2 linked regions of the Danio rerio genome follow. The protein of the gene in region 2 binds, or shares a complex with, the protein of the main gene of each other region. Links are inferred from orthologs where the notes say so. Each region holds a gene or a part of one and is shown on either strand. Other genes may lie near its edges.

Region 1 (7,969 bases), about 15 Mb from region 2:
GTTTTAAAATTGCCAAATGTTTCTGTAATACCGTTCCTTATTAAGTTTTTAGCTATGATACAAAAACATTCCGCATAAATCCACAGATTTTTTTATAATATTCTGCACAGAAATAACAAAAAATGTCCGCAGATTCTGTCTGGCCATAGTTAAAGGTCACAAACGGCTTTAAACAATGTCCAATCGGAACATGTTGCTCAATACTCAGATTTCACATTGATGTAAATGCCTTTATTGGCATTCTATCAGTTTATTTATGTTCGCATGTGCATGTGAGGAAAACATCACACATAAACATCAGAACTATTGTTATCTGTGAATTCCATCGGGACTAACTGCTCCTACCAGTCCATCCTACAGACACACATTCAGCTTGAGTGGGCACTTCTAGACAGGGGCGGCAGTAATATATCATACACTGCAGCTCTTAATTGTCTTAATAGAGCAAAAAATCATGTCATCAACTCATGCAGTCGATGCAGAATCATCAAAAGTTTTGCATTCACAGTGACTGTAAAGAAGCCATAATATACAACAGCACTGCTTCACATGCTAATGTTTGGCATATGATATCAGCTCAGCTGCTCGTAAGAAAACCTTCATGTAAAATTTCATGCAAATTTCATGGTTGTCTGCATAGCCGATTTACTGATTTACAAGTAAACTTCTAAAAGCGTTTCTGACATACTAACATTTTTGACAATTCTCTGCTTATTTTGTGCATGTTAACACACAAAGAAAAAAAAAAAGTCACATTTTCACATTTAATCTTCACCTATTTGCACGGCAAGTGTTTTTCAGCCACCGATAAACTTCAGTTGAAAGGTTTATTTGACCGTTTTCAATTTCAAAAGGATCCTTTTACAGCATTGTTAATGTAATTGGTCACACTTTAAAATAAGATTTCATAGGTTAATGTATTTACTAACATGAACTAATTATGTTAAAATATATGCTGTAATATAATAATTACAATACTCGTGCAGCATTTTTAATCATAGTTTAACATTTACTAATCCAAATTCATGCTTGAACTAACAAACAACATTGTTTTATTTAATGAACATTAACTGACATGGTTTTAGCATGTATTTAATTAAAACATAATTGGTTAAATGGACTTCAGCATTAATTTGGTTTGTAAAGTCTAAAAAAAAAGAATGAAAAGCTGTTTAAACAAGCACTGTCAAGAGCAGCAGGTGAGTGCAGAAACTATTGAAAATGCTGTGACAAAGTAAATTTCCATATTTTAAAGACATGGCTCAGAACAATGCCATTTAATGCAGTGCTTCTTGTCCAGTGCGAGACCCACTTCATATCAATTCATCAGTGAAGAGCATTGATTTTTAACAAATCAGATCTTAAATGTGCAGAGTTTATAATTGCACGACAGTTCACCGGAAGAGCTTAAGCTGGCTTATGCAAAGTTAAATGAAGTATGTCACAAATGAAATGAACCTCAGTTACAACACTGACCTCCTCTCGTAACTCCTTCATTCGTTCCTCAAAGTCATACTCTTTCTGCTTTTCCTCCAGCTTTTTCTTGTTCACTTCAAAACGTTTCTTTACTTGGTCCAGCGAAGAGCGCTCTACTCGCATCGACATTCCCAGATTCCTCTGATCTGTGAGCCAGCAAAATAAATGTATGGTGTTATGCACTGACATGTATTAAAAATGCCACTGACCAGTGGAGCAGTCAATAAATTTATATTTTTTAACAGAAATACAACAACTAGATATTGATTTACATGAGCAACATAAAGAATAATAATAAACAGAGCTGCTACAAACAAGTACATATAGATTCATTTGATTAAATTAAAGTGTTCATAATTTATCTTATCAGATATTACCGTTTATTTTGTGTATGACATTTATTTATATAGCATAACTACTTTCATTGACTGATGTGCTCTCCAACAAAGTTTTCAGGAACATCTGGATGATGGTAGGTGCCTATCTTTTAACTTTTATCTGTTTTCTTATAATATATAGGCAAGTCTGAAAATAAAAGCAGATTTTTTCCCCACACTGATGCCTCTTGTACATCATGGGAGAAGCCTGTGTCACTTTCGGTTAAAAGCAACCACTTGCTGGTTGAATAAAATTATCTTTAAGTCAGAATATGCCAGGGGTTTGAATAATTTCGGACTTGACAAAATATAAGTATATCTTTTTGTGACATATATGTCTGTCAGGTTTTGAATATCAAAGTGGATATTTAAAGTGTGGTTATTTTCTCCCAATAGAAAGAATCTATATTAAAAGGTATGAAATGAGTCATCAGTATTTCCAGTCCTATTTCCTGCACAAGCCTATGTAGATTTGTTACAAAGTTTCATAAAGCCAACCTGAGTACTGTTTTCTCCACCGCAAAAACAAAACTACCGTGAAGCAATGATACAGAATCAACATTTGAAATCAACTCTGAGAAATGAGTTAATAATGTAAAGTTTGAGAAAATGAAAGTGCTTTTTGACTTTGGATGGATCTGAACCTATTGTAAGAGACTTCCGCAACAAAAATATCCTTTAAAATAGAATACAATTTACGATATTGCACAGAAGGCTTTCTATAGGGAGTGTGTCTACATGCAAACCACATTTTATCTACAAGATGTTGTGCAAATTATAAGAAAGAACAAAGACCTTATAATACTTACGTTTTTTACCATTGATATGATCCAAGAAATTGATGGAATCCTTTACTACACAATCACACACATTGCAGTAATACCTTAGAATGAAAAAAAAATAGTATATTAATATTTTATTATTAATATTTATACTAAAACATAAATACAAGTTTCAGGTTACACCCACCCTCCCATCTCAGCCTGTGGTGTGGTCTTCGTGATGACGATTGTTTTCCCCAGTTTTGACTCCAGATCCACTTTATAATCTCTGTGGCGGAGGAGCTCCCGCTTGATGGGGGGCACAGGCTTGCCTGGAGAACAAAAAAGAAGAATGACATAGGAAATATTGGCCAGAATTATTTACGTTTGTAAAATATTTAGGCATGAGAGAATTATTTCAGTTTGTTGTCAGCATATGGGTTTATTTGACCATACTTCATTTAATTTACTGAATAAAGATACAACTTACATATACAAAAAAATTCCACTGAACGTTTATCAGAATTTATCATTTGTTATTATGTGTTTGAGTGAGACATAATTTTGGTTTTATTCTGTGAACTACTGATGATATTTTTTTTACAAATGTTAAATAAAATAGACATTTTCTGGAAAAAAAGGAAAAGCTCTGATGTACAATATTTATCTAATTTAATTTTTGGAAGAAATATTATTAGACTTACAGAATAAAACAAATATTTTACATTTTATATCCAATGAATTCAGAGAAATTGAGAATTTACAAGTGATCCTTTAGTTTTTTTGTCTCTGATAACTGTATATACTGAAGGGTTTTTAGGGTTGTTTTAGCTTACCATCTTTTTTCTCTCTCTCCTCTGTGATTCGTTTCTGGGCCAGCTGTTCATATTCATCCTTGTCCCATTTCCGTCGAAAATCATTCTTGGACTAGAAACGAGAATATGATTGTAAATGATGAAGGTACAATTTAAGACATTTTAAGGACCTTTTAAAGACCTCGCAATGAAAATGTAATGAATCATTTTAAGGGAACACAACATACAAACACTGAGTTGCAGAAACAATGAGTTGTATATACTTGGCTAAACTTTTAGGTTTGAATATACCAATCTGTATTATTCACGGTACTTTTTGTCACACTGTAAAAAGCACATTCTTCCTTGGTGTTCTATCCTTTCCATTACTCATGTCTAAAGATTATGAAATCATAATAGATTTTTAATAGATATGAGACTAAAATGAGCTCAGAAATAAACACTCAAACAGCAAAGTCATTTTTCTTCTTTAATAACAAACAATATATTAAACTTTTTAAATTATTTATCGAGTAAATGAAACCTCATTTAAGGACGTTTATGATTTTTATAAAGGAAAACATAAAAATATTGAGGAAAATATAAACTTTTGCGGAGTATGCAACATTTAATGCCTTAGAAAGTATAAATATCTGCTGATTTAAAACCTTTTTTAAGGGATTATTGTCTAATTTAAACTTTAAAGGCCCACATAAATCTTAATTTTAAACATTTTAATAGCATAACCATGACAGTTGAATAACGTTAAGCAAATCTACTGGAACTGCACAAAAAACGTCTGTACAAAAGATCGAACATAAATAAGCCATAATATGATTATACTAATAGATTAACTATGATTTTAAAAAGATAATACAAGGCAATATAGGTAACGAAACGCTTTACAACTGAAATATATCTGTTTTTCTTCTTGTTCACAACAAAACAAAACCATCTGGCGTCACAACATCGGCCAGTTTTTTCTTCATTCACCTTTTACGATACCAACATTTGCTAACACATGACGCTACAAAATAAATACTTTCCTAAATTACGTTTAAAGTAAGCGGATAGACTAAAATAACATATAAACAAGTCTTAACAGAATTCTTACCCCACTGCCTGACGCCATTTTGCTATGAGGATGCCGTAAAGCGTGTGCGGCTGCCGTAAACAAGCGCCCCTGCCGAACTGCTGTTACTATTTTGCCGACTGTAAAAGTGTCATCATGCTTGGTAATTGTTTTTTTTTACTTTATTTATATGTTTGGGCTTCAAATAAGTTATGCTTACATTTAGTCAAAAACCTGTTTAATGACTACATTTGTGACAAGCCTACTGTATTATTCCTCTCGTTACTTGGACAATTTTCTTCAATGTGTCTAAATAGAGACATACTATTTCACTACAAGAATTTTACATCTACATGTTTAAATCAGTGAAATAAAAACCGTTATTAAATAAAACGTTAATTAAAATAATATCGATTTGATAAATCATTATTATTATTATTTTTTTTAATAATTAGCGGCCTTACCTGTCTCATTTGTAGAGCCCCGCCCCCGTTACACCTGTCGCTGATAAAAAGCTTTGTCAAGCGCAATGTGTTGTGTGGCTGTACGTTAGCCAAAATCATGACAACACGCATAGAAAGCCTTCTTCAAAGCCCCTTTGAGTCGCGGTTGTATGTTTCAAAGCTTGTTTTGTGCCTTTAAAGTGTCCTCATGTGTTGTTGTCCTCATGTAGTATCGTAAAACACTTTGTATTTTGTTATTTTTTTGTGATTTAGAGGTCTGCCTCTTCACTTGTGGCCAACAGACGTTGCTCAAGACTTCAGTAGTAAAACCCTCTCTCTCCCATGTAGCCCAGAGCCTTGGCTGCTTCCTGGCTGCAGTTCAGTGTATGATAGTCTTGTCAGGTAAATGTGTTTCTGTTGATTTAAGGAACCTTTTTATTTATTTATTTTTATTATAATTATTATTTTGGGGGGGGGTGGAACTTGAAAATGTTGTGTTGAGAAACCCTGCACATTGTTTTTCCCTCAGCTGCTCTAAAACCCCACTGTCTGCTTCACAAAATGGAGAAAAGCCTTCTGCTGTTCAGAAGCCTCGCAGGTATGCTTTTTTTTCTTTTTTATAATTTGTTACTGGTTGTCTTGTGAATAGTTTTTTCTTAATTCCAAATGATCTGTTAGTGCCTTTAATTATTTTATTATTCACTCTTCAGGTCCTCCATCCTTGAGCGATGCATACTTAGGATGTCTACAGCTAGTGTAGCTGTTGGGACGGAAGATCTTGATGGGGTCAAGAGGTCTAACTAATCCTTTTTTTTTTTTTTTTTTTTTTTTTTTTTTTAGTTTTGAGTGTGTGTGTGTGGTTTTTATTATTTTTAAATGAAAGAAAAATGGATGTTTGTGTATTTTATTATATATATATATATATATATATATATATATATATATATATATATATATATATATATATATATATATATATATAATTTTATGTTTATTTTTTATTTATTTATTTTTTAAAGTAATTCGTCAAGTGACAACACAGCTTTACAGAAATGCCACATGACACTCGCATGTTAAAATCAAATTTGTTATGGGGTTTTGGAAACCGAGTGTTTTTTTTTCTCTTCCCCTCTCTCTACTTCACATGAAAATGTGTACAACCATGTATTGCATTATTTAAACCTGAAACACTTATGGTATTTTTTTTGTGAGGGAACATGCATTATTTTAAAAGGATAAAAATTCAGGGAAAAAAAAGTTAAAAAAAAAAAAAAAAAAAAAAAAAGCTCTATATAAAAATGTTCCATGTGTGGTTTTAAAGATGAAGCTCTAAGTTTTTTTTTTTTTTTTTTTTTTTCTAGGCATGTTCCTCAACTTAAAGCATGCAAGTGTTTTATTAATTTTTTTTTTAATTATTTAATATAATGCAAGTATTGTTTTACTCTAATGTTGTAGGTCACCATCAAGGGGAAAGTGGTATCCCCATAATGCTGACCCTTCTCATTTTGAGATCAATGAGGCTGTTTTGAAGCGTAGGCAAAAGCAGATTCAGTATGGGAAGAATACCTGTGGCTACCAGAACTACGTTCAGCAGGTTCCAAAGTGAGTTGTGGTGAACGTAAATATCCAACTATTAGCTGCTAGTGTTCACTTTTCTTCTTGGATGCCCTTCTGATTGTATTAAGAGCGTAACTAATCTTTCTGGCTTCTGTCTCCTCTGTTCAGGCGTCTGCGTGTCCCTGGAATTCATCCTTCCACTCCAAACAAATACCGCAAATATAGCCGCAGATCTTGGGACATGCAAGTCCGGCTTTGGAGGAGAGCACTTCATGCTTGGGACCTGCCATCTGCATCGCAAAATGATACTGAAGGACAAGACCCTGTTGATCAACTGTAAGTTTTATAGGCTGAATAGAGCTTTTCACACATGAAATGGTAAACGCTGTCTCATTCTCAACCTGGTAGTAAATTTAACTACATAATCTGATCACGAATATGATCTACTTGTAATTGGATCACATTTGTAATATACTCCATAATCATGGAATTCAAATAGTAAGATTGCATGTCATTTATTGCAATTTTTGCAATTGGTGGCCTTCACCAATTATTAATTCTAAGAAAAAAGAGAAAGAATTGGGAAAATTCTTATGTTATCTCTTTTTCATGTTTTTGATTGTTTGTTAATGTAATCCAGGAATTATAAACATTTCCCCCACCCCTCTGGGCTTAACCACTCTTACCTGAGTGCCGCTCATGTTACCATATTAACATGTATATTTAATTTAAATTAACTCCTAATTTGAATTTTCCAATGACTGAATTCTTGCAAATCATCAGTTTGGTAAACTTTTTTTTTTTTTTTTTTTTTATTGTTTATTATTATTATTATTATTATTATAGTATTTGCAGACATAGAAAAGGAACAGACAGACAAACCCAACGTGATGATCTGTGCAAAATTTAAAGCATGAACTGAAGGAAAATTTGTGACAAGACATGACCTATAAAAAGAGATGGCAGTGGATGTAAAAGGAGGGAGGGGGGGGGGGGGGGATACAAATCTTCAGAAATTATACATTATTAGTCTATGTTGTGTTGGGGTAAAAAAAAGACTGGATCCCACATTTTATCAAATTTTGTAGAGTTACCAGAGGTGGTATGTTAAATTCTTTCCTAATATAAAGTCAAGATGAGTTCAAGAAGCCAGTCAGAAAAAGAGGCCTTGCATTTCTCTTCCAGAAACAAAGGATAACTTTCTTAGCTATGAGCATGCCATACTGAACGGGTAAATGTACATTTTCATTTGAGAGTCTCCAGAAAATCTGACCAACCCAAAATTGCTATCATTGGGTCAGGGTTTACATGTTTTAATACACCAAATTTGTGTGTTTTTGTTTAGTTTTTGGTTTTTATGCAAGATCGTTTTGGTACAAAATCAAATCCTAGATTTGGTCACGTATTTTAAGCAGGGTTGCCCAAACTATTGAAGGGCCAACCTTGATTTCAACCAAACTTGATTTGAGGCTTGTCGGCCTAAGGAAAT
Region 2 (7,902 bases):
AATTTTCCATATATTTACCATACCACTGAGTGAAAGGGGCTTATTATTAACTATAATTCCTTTTCATTTTGCAAATGTCTAATTAAAAATGATCTGACATCCGGTAAAAACCATGAAAATGAAAAAAAAATGTGAAACTAGGGGGCGATCGGAAAAATGTCAAATGATTTATGTGGATTTTGCAATATTATATCTAGCAAGTAAAAAAATAAAGCCAAGAAGGAACATAAAGAGGCTGGCTGTCATTTGTAATATCCGCAAGCGATATGGATTACTAGATTATCATACATTTGCAGGAGCGAATGCCTCCGTGATGACTTTGATAATGGTAGTAAATGCTGCTTTGTTTATGTTTTGCACAAGCATGTCAGAGGTTCGGTTTCCCTTCTCTATGGCTGACAAAGATGTGCACCAATCAAAATAATTTAACTCCACGTTGTGACGACACATAGCACAAGCTTTGTGATTGCTCCAAATGGAGCCCTGCTGCCAGCTAGGGTTTCGGAAGTGTTATTGCAGAGCAACACGAACAAAATACAGAAGTATAAATGCCGGTACAGGTACTGTGGATTACAGTATTCACTCGATGCAGAAGTATAATTCAGCCCTATCAGCGAGTGATGGTGAAGAGCACTTACTGCAGCGCTGACCGGTGGTCCTCCACCTCATGGCCATCTGGAGCCAGAGGATTAGAGTACACATCAGCTGAAAGACGGAAAAAACAGACAGACACGTTATTAGGACATTACTGTACACAACAGAAAGAAGAACTAACTGAGGTTAAGTTGGTTTCATATTCACACATTCGTTTAGTACTTGTTACATGCTCACTATAAGGGCTAATATTGGAAAAATCTAATATTACGATTAATATTTATTACGATAAATATTGCAATATAAATACAGTTTCACAAGATCTATTTGACGGTTTTCTGGGTAGTCTAACAGTATTCGGGATTGAGGTAAAGTTGGTTTTATATTCACACGTTCATTCAATGACAACTTGTGACATGCTCCCTATATTGTTTACTATGGTACTTTGAACATTCGGTCTGAAATCGCATGCAAGTATGACTTGAAAACAACACTGGCACTATTTATTTGACTGTCAACAATGCTGTAATTTTAAAAGTCATTGGCTGCAAATACGTATTCACTAGGGATGTAACGATATTGTAAATACCGTCATACCGCAATATTAATTTTTTTCGATATTACCGTAGTCGCATGACTCGGTAAAACTATAGGTCTTCTGAGAAAATTTGCTCAGGCGAATGAAGCGAACGGGAGGTAGCGGGAACTACAATTCCCATCAGCCCAGGCGTGGCCATCATCCTTTGCGGTCTGTTGTCGCTACAGATCCAGTAATGCGGAAATGGAGTGTGCTGCTAGTAGCAGGGATGAAAAAGAGCTGGAAATGATCGAATCTAAAGCGGGTGTTGTCGCCGCACGCGTACTGAATAGCGGTGTTGTCGCGCGAGTTCTTATCAGCTGTGTTGTCGCGCGGGTACTGAATAGCGGTGTTGTCGCGCGCGTTCTGATCAGCTGTGTTGTCGCGCAAGTTCTGATCAGCTGTGTTGTCGCGCGCGTACTGTAAAGCGGGACGGAGGTTGTGTCGCTTCGCGGGGGCACTTTTGATCATTTTGGAAGGGAACTTTCTATCCAAGACTAAAAAGGGCAAGTGCACTGCACAGGTTGAGCACTGTGTGTGCACGTGCCTGCAAGTTGGGGAATACGACTAATAACAGTCATGTGGACTGCAGAAACACAGCGCACTGTTCAGATTGACGCAGACATGAGACCTCTATCTCACTCATGGTTTGTCCACTCAAGTGGGGGAAAGACAATGCACAACGTTACCCACTGCTGTCAACCTGGGCCAAGTCATATCTCTCTGTCCCAGAAACCTCAGTCCCAAATGAGAGGGTTTTTTTCTGTTGCAGGGGACATTGTAAATACCCAGAGATACCAGCTTTTACCAGATTATATTTATATGATAATTTTCCTTAAAACCCATCTCTATCTAAGTGAGTGAGTGATTAAATGTTGAATGTGATGAGTTTTCAACAATACTAAATTGAAACTTTATTTTTTACATGGTTTAATAATTTTTTGTTATTAAAATTGAAGTTCCTGTTTCAAAGCTTACAGATAGATGACTAATTTGTATGCCATTGACACTTTTGGCACTTTTTTGGAGTATTTTCATTAGTTTTGTTTTTTCCTGTAAATGATTCAATAAATACCGTACCGTGACATTCATACCGAGGTATTACCATACCGTGAAATTCTGATACCGTTACATCCCTAGTATTCACTATTCAAAATTTGCAAAGAATACTTTTTAGAAATTCTATTATTAAGGAGAAAGTCTGATTGTGTGAATATAAAACCAACTTTACCTCAGTGTATTCCGGTACAGAAATTCAATAATCACAATGCAAAAAATATATATATTTTTACTTTTTTCGTCTCATTTCTAGTCCAAATATCAACTAAATTCTTAGACCAAGTAAAAATATTGTTTTGTTTTGACCGTCAGAAGGAAAAAAGGTATATTAAGAGATTAATGAATGAAATGTTTTTTGCATGAATCATATAAAGTGCATTTGATTAAATCCTGGTCATCTATAATACAGACTGGACTAGGCATGGGCCAGCATAAGATTCTGACGGTATGATAACCTTGCATATAAATATCACTGTTTGAGATTACTGAGATTACTGCTCTAAAATATAATCTTTTTAAATGACTGGGTAAAGAACAAAACCTTTTCCCCCCTTTGTACACAATATATTTTAATTTGGGAAACATTTTAAGTATTTCAGAACAGTAAACATGTCAGGCTAAATAATTATTAGGCTGGCTTGGGAAACAAGCCAGACTACTGAAAACCTATTTAAACTTAATATTTTTATTCTTCTTCTTCTTCTGAGACTAAAATTCAAAATCTATCTCCTCCTAGAGCTTTCGAGCTATGACCACCAAACTCACACCAGACCTCCAAACTATTCTGACTCGGTAATATGCTATATCTTTTCCGACTGATCCGACTTTCGGTTTTCTGAAAAACGTCCCGGGACCGTCGGAAAAATCCCATAGACTTAACATTGGACCAAACTTTGTGACCTCATAACTCTGCGTCAGACTGTCACACAGACTTCTAACTGGGCTCATTTAACTCAGACTACCTAACTGCCAATAACTGATGAGCTTTTAACTTTCTGGCCACGCCCTAGCAACCACTTTTGGATCCTAGAAACTGTCCCATAGACTTCCATTCAAAAGACTCTCATTGACTTAACATGGGATCAAACTTTGTGAGCTCATAACTCTGCATCAGATTGTCTTACAGACTAATGGCTGAGCTCATTTAACTCAGACTACCAAACTACCAATAACTGATGAGCTTTTAACTTTCTAGCCACACCCCTAACTACCACATACTGCACCCTAGCAACAACTGTCCCATAGACTTCCATTGCAAAAGACTGTCATTGATTTACATTAGATCTAACTTTGTGACCTCAAAATTATCTGTCCTTTTTCAAACTGCTTTTATCTATCTATCTATCTATCTATCTATCTATCTATCTATCTATCTATCTATCTATCTATCTATTACTGTCTTTCTATCTATCATCTTTTCATACTTTTTAAAACTGTTTAAACTAAATAAACTATTTCCAACAGATTTTCTCAACCCCAGCCTAAAGTTTGTCTCGACGAACTTTAATAATTGACTCCTGCAGTCTTAATTAGTTTTAAAAACACAGAGTTCTTTACGATTTAAACAGCATCTTTGGAAACCTTTTCTGTTGGAGATACTGCTGACCCTAAAAATAAAAAATGTAAATAAAAAAATCTTACTCATACCTTAGGAACGGTATAGCAGAAAATGTTGACGGTTTTAAAACATTGACTTTCTCAAACTAAGGTATACTTTGAAAGCAGTTATCGTCCCATGCCTAGACTGGACATTGCATATCTATGCGATGTGACTATTGCGGATGCGCACATTGAGATATCAATGTTGAAACGATATAATGTGCAGCCCTACTCCCTAGATTGTATACCATGGTACTTTCCAATATTCATTCTGAAATCACATGCAAGAATGACTTAAAAACAACATTGGCACTAATTAATTGACAGTGAACAGTGTTGTACTATGATAGTCAATGGCTGATAATATGAATTTACTACTTTTACTCTTCTGAAATTATATTATTAAGGAGAAAGTGCAAATATAAAGCCAACTTTACCCCAATCATAAATCTGGAGTCAATTATGAAGCAGTCACTTCATTTCTGGACTCTGCAGCAATGTAAAACACTAGAGAAGTGTCTGCTTTGGATTGTTATAATGCATATTTCACTACATGTGCACTAATATCATCTTTGTATGAACATCGCATTTCCTTAACGATCTACACAGGAGACACAGGCGAGTGTTAGCAAAACATAACAGCGCAAATGTTCGCTTATTATACTAACGTTAATTCACTGTCTGTTTTGTCGCTCCCTCATCGCATAAATAAGAAATAAATTGCATATCATACTTACTTTCGCGTTCAGGCATGATGAAATAAAACTACTAGCTCCAAAACACAACGCACTCCAATGTTGATAGTGCGTCTCTTGATGTCACTTCCGCTTTTTTGTCTGCTTTCGCAGCAGCAGCGCCTCTTGTTGAGCTGGATGAATACGGTTGTTGCTAGAAGGGATACAGCTGCGGCCAGAGGTTAAAGAGAATTATTTACATTATTTATAAAATGTTCAACTAAATTGTATTTTATTAACTTTTACCTCGACTTCAATCCTGGACCCAACCCTCACAGTGATGTAAAAACCCTAATTATACCGAATATTATTCATATTATTTATTAAATTACCCATTGATTGTATTGTATTAACCTCTATCCCTACTCCAACCCTCACAATAATGTAAAAACAGTGATTATACAGGGTATTATTCATATTATTTATTAAATTATCCATTAATGCATTTTATTAACGTCTACCCCCATCTCTATGGAGGACAAAACCTTCAAAATACAATAAATAAATAAATAAATTAATAAATATGCAAATAAATTAAATAATAAATCCACAAAATTCTACATGAATAAAACAATAAATAAATAAAAGAATTATATATATATATATATATATATATATATATATATATATATATATATATATATATATATATATATATATACACACACACACACACACACACACAAATCCCTGCATAAATAAATATATAAATATAGTGTGGACAGATTAATAATTAATGCTGGAGGAATAAGAAAACTTAAAGTAGACTTTATATATATATATTTGCAGGTTTTGTTCATATATATATATACATTTATTTATTTACAGCGTATATATTTATTTATTGTTTCATTTATGCAGGAACTTGTGTATTTATTTATTTATTTACGTATTTATTTATCTATTTATTTATTGTTTTATTTTTGCAGGAACTTGTGTATTTATTCATTTATTTATTTGTGTATTTATTTATCTATTTATTGTTTTATTTATGCAGGAACTTGTGTATTTATATATAGATTTGTTTATTAATTTGTGTATTTATTTATGTATTGTTTTATTTATGCAGTAACTTGTGTATTTATTTATTCATTTATTTATTTAATTGTTGTTTTATTTATGCAGGTATTTATTTCTTTATTTATTTATTCTTTTATTTATCTAATTGTTTTACTGATGCAGGAATTTGTGTTTATTTATTTATTTATTTATTTATTTATTTATTTATTTGCGTAATTGTTTATTTTTTTGTTTTGCAGGTTTCGTCCTCCATATACCCTAACCCACACAGTATATAAAAATTATACCAAGTATTATTTATATTATTTATTAAATTACTCAATAATCCATTTTACTAACGCCTACCCCAACCCAGAACCCAACCTTTACAGTATGAATATTAAAAATAGTAATTGTTGTACAGCGTCACAAAAACCGCGTGAGCTGTATCCCTTCTATACTTTACCACACTTTCCAGTAGGTGGCGGTATATCAAATGCAGCGGCATTTGCTGCAAACAGCAGCAGAAGAAGAGCACTTCCTCCGGTGAAGGTGACAGTCATGGCGGCCGCAGCGGTGGTTCGAGGAATCGGCTCAAACTTGTCAAAGAATCTGCGTGAAATCCGCCTGCATTTATGCCAGATCTCAGCTGCCAGCCAGGGCACCAGGTGCAGTACTGACCGCTCTTATTGTGTGTGAGAATATAGGAGAGGAACTGTCCTCTAAGAGTCTGTGTGTCACCTGCAGAAATGTTCGTGTGTGTTATTATTGTTGTCTGAATGCTAGTGAGCTTTATACATTGCTCTGCTTTCAGTGAGTTTAAACAGCATAGCAGTGAAGGTTATAGTGTTCAACACCAAGTTCAAATTTATTTGTTTATTAAAAATCAGATGTGTGTTTCGCTGTTGCGTAAGTATTAAATATAACTGACCATTTAAATACAATGATTTATTCAATTCAAGTAGTCACTTGTACATAATATAGAGGTAAATTTGGTTTTATAGTCGCACATTCGGACTTTCCCCTTAATAATATAATTTCATAAAAGTATTATTTGCAAACTCTAAATAGCGAAATCATATAAGTAGCCAATGACTATTAGAGTACAGCATTGTTCACAGTCAAATAAACAGTGCTAATGTTGTTTTCAAGTCACACTTGCATGCTAATTCAGATCGAATATTAAAAGTAACATGGTAAACAATATAGAGACTTCTAAATGAACGAATGTGCAAATATAAAACCATTTTTACCTCTATGTACATAATTATTGTCTAGGGTACAAAATTTATACAGATTTGACATTTGTCCCTCATACTTCTGTCAGAAGGGGTACGAAGTTGGCTTTGAACTTCATTTGAAATGGTCTTAAAAAGGTCTTAAAAAGTCTTGAACTTCATTTGGAGGATCCTGGGGGTACCCGGCTTATGTTTTGTAATGAGTGATGTTTGTTGTTATTATAGGGACTTCATTGAGCAGCATTATGTGACTCTGAAGAAGGCAAACCCTCAGTTCCCCATCCTGATCCGAGAGTGCTCTGGAGTTCAGCCCGTGCTGTGGGCTCGATATGGTATGGAAACGCACTTAAAGGGATAGCTCACTCAATGACAAATTCTGTTATTTAATTACTCACTCTGGCTGAACGATTAATCACACGCAATTGTCATGTGCATTATTTTATAAAGCCGGCACTGTAGTCAGCTGTGTGTTGAGTTGGAGCAGCGTTTACACAATTATCAGTTTATGGACTTATCGCACAACACACGGACATGACCTCAATAATTTCTGGTGATGCAGAATATATTGCCCATACATAAAACCAATTCTAGAAACATTTTAGCTGCTTGTGCAACATCTCTATCACTATTGGAGCTGTCTGTGTCAGTATGGTTAAAGCACGGCAGTATTTACAGTAAATGACTATAGTATATTTTCATGAGGATGTCAGACGACTGAAAATAGATCTGGAAGCAGATATCACAGCCTCTGTTACTTTTTACCTTGCACAGTTTTGTTAACATTTATTATTATTTATTGAGGATTAGTGATGGACGATGTCGTCCCGTCTAATGTAAAACATTCAAAACGCTGAATTAATTATTAATGAGTATTAATTCATAAGTAATAAATTATTTGCAGCCTACCATTTCAGCTACCAGACCCGCATGATCTTTGTGTTACCTATAAACAATTCATAAATAAATAAAGAGAAGTTACACACAAATGACCACCTGTCAATCACTTATTTCCGTAAGACTTTGGAATGAATTGGCAGAATGATCTGTGTTGTTATAATGGCGTCGACAAACTTGGTTGGTAGAAAAGGTGCACAACCACACT

The links.
Region 1: ik (region 2) and zmat2 share a complex: the UniProt entries of both Homo sapiens proteins name them as parts of the spliceosome B complex. The link is inferred for Danio rerio from reciprocal best matches to the Homo sapiens genes IK and ZMAT2.

Annotation. Positions count from the first base shown.
Region 1 is NC_133196.1:32,945,695-32,953,663, reverse strand, and holds the start of zmat2 (zinc finger matrin-type protein 2), read right to left. Parts: upstream 4,543-7,969; 5' UTR 4,541-4,542; coding exon 4,523-4,540; intron 3,542-4,522; coding exon 3,451-3,541; intron 2,947-3,450; coding exon 2,823-2,946; intron 2,737-2,822; coding exon 2,663-2,736; intron 1,623-2,662; coding exon 1,477-1,622; intron 1-1,476. Other genes in the region: slbp2 (stem-loop binding protein 2), read left to right, coding at 5,042-5,091, 5,197-5,325, 5,453-5,521, 5,634-5,717, 6,379-6,525, 6,649-6,816. UniProt on the Homo sapiens protein: Involved in pre-mRNA splicing as a component of the spliceosome.
Region 2 is NC_133196.1:47,755,793-47,763,694, reverse strand, and holds the start of ik (protein Red), read right to left. Parts: upstream 4,650-7,902; 5' UTR 4,583-4,649; coding exon 4,567-4,582; intron 706-4,566; coding exon 639-705; intron 1-638. Other genes in the region: ndufa2 (NADH dehydrogenase [ubiquinone] 1 alpha subcomplex subunit 2), read left to right, coding at 6,124-6,230, 7,026-7,132. UniProt on the Homo sapiens protein: Involved in pre-mRNA splicing as a component of the spliceosome. Auxiliary spliceosomal protein that regulates selection of alternative splice sites in a small set of target pre-mRNA species. Required for normal mitotic cell cycle progression.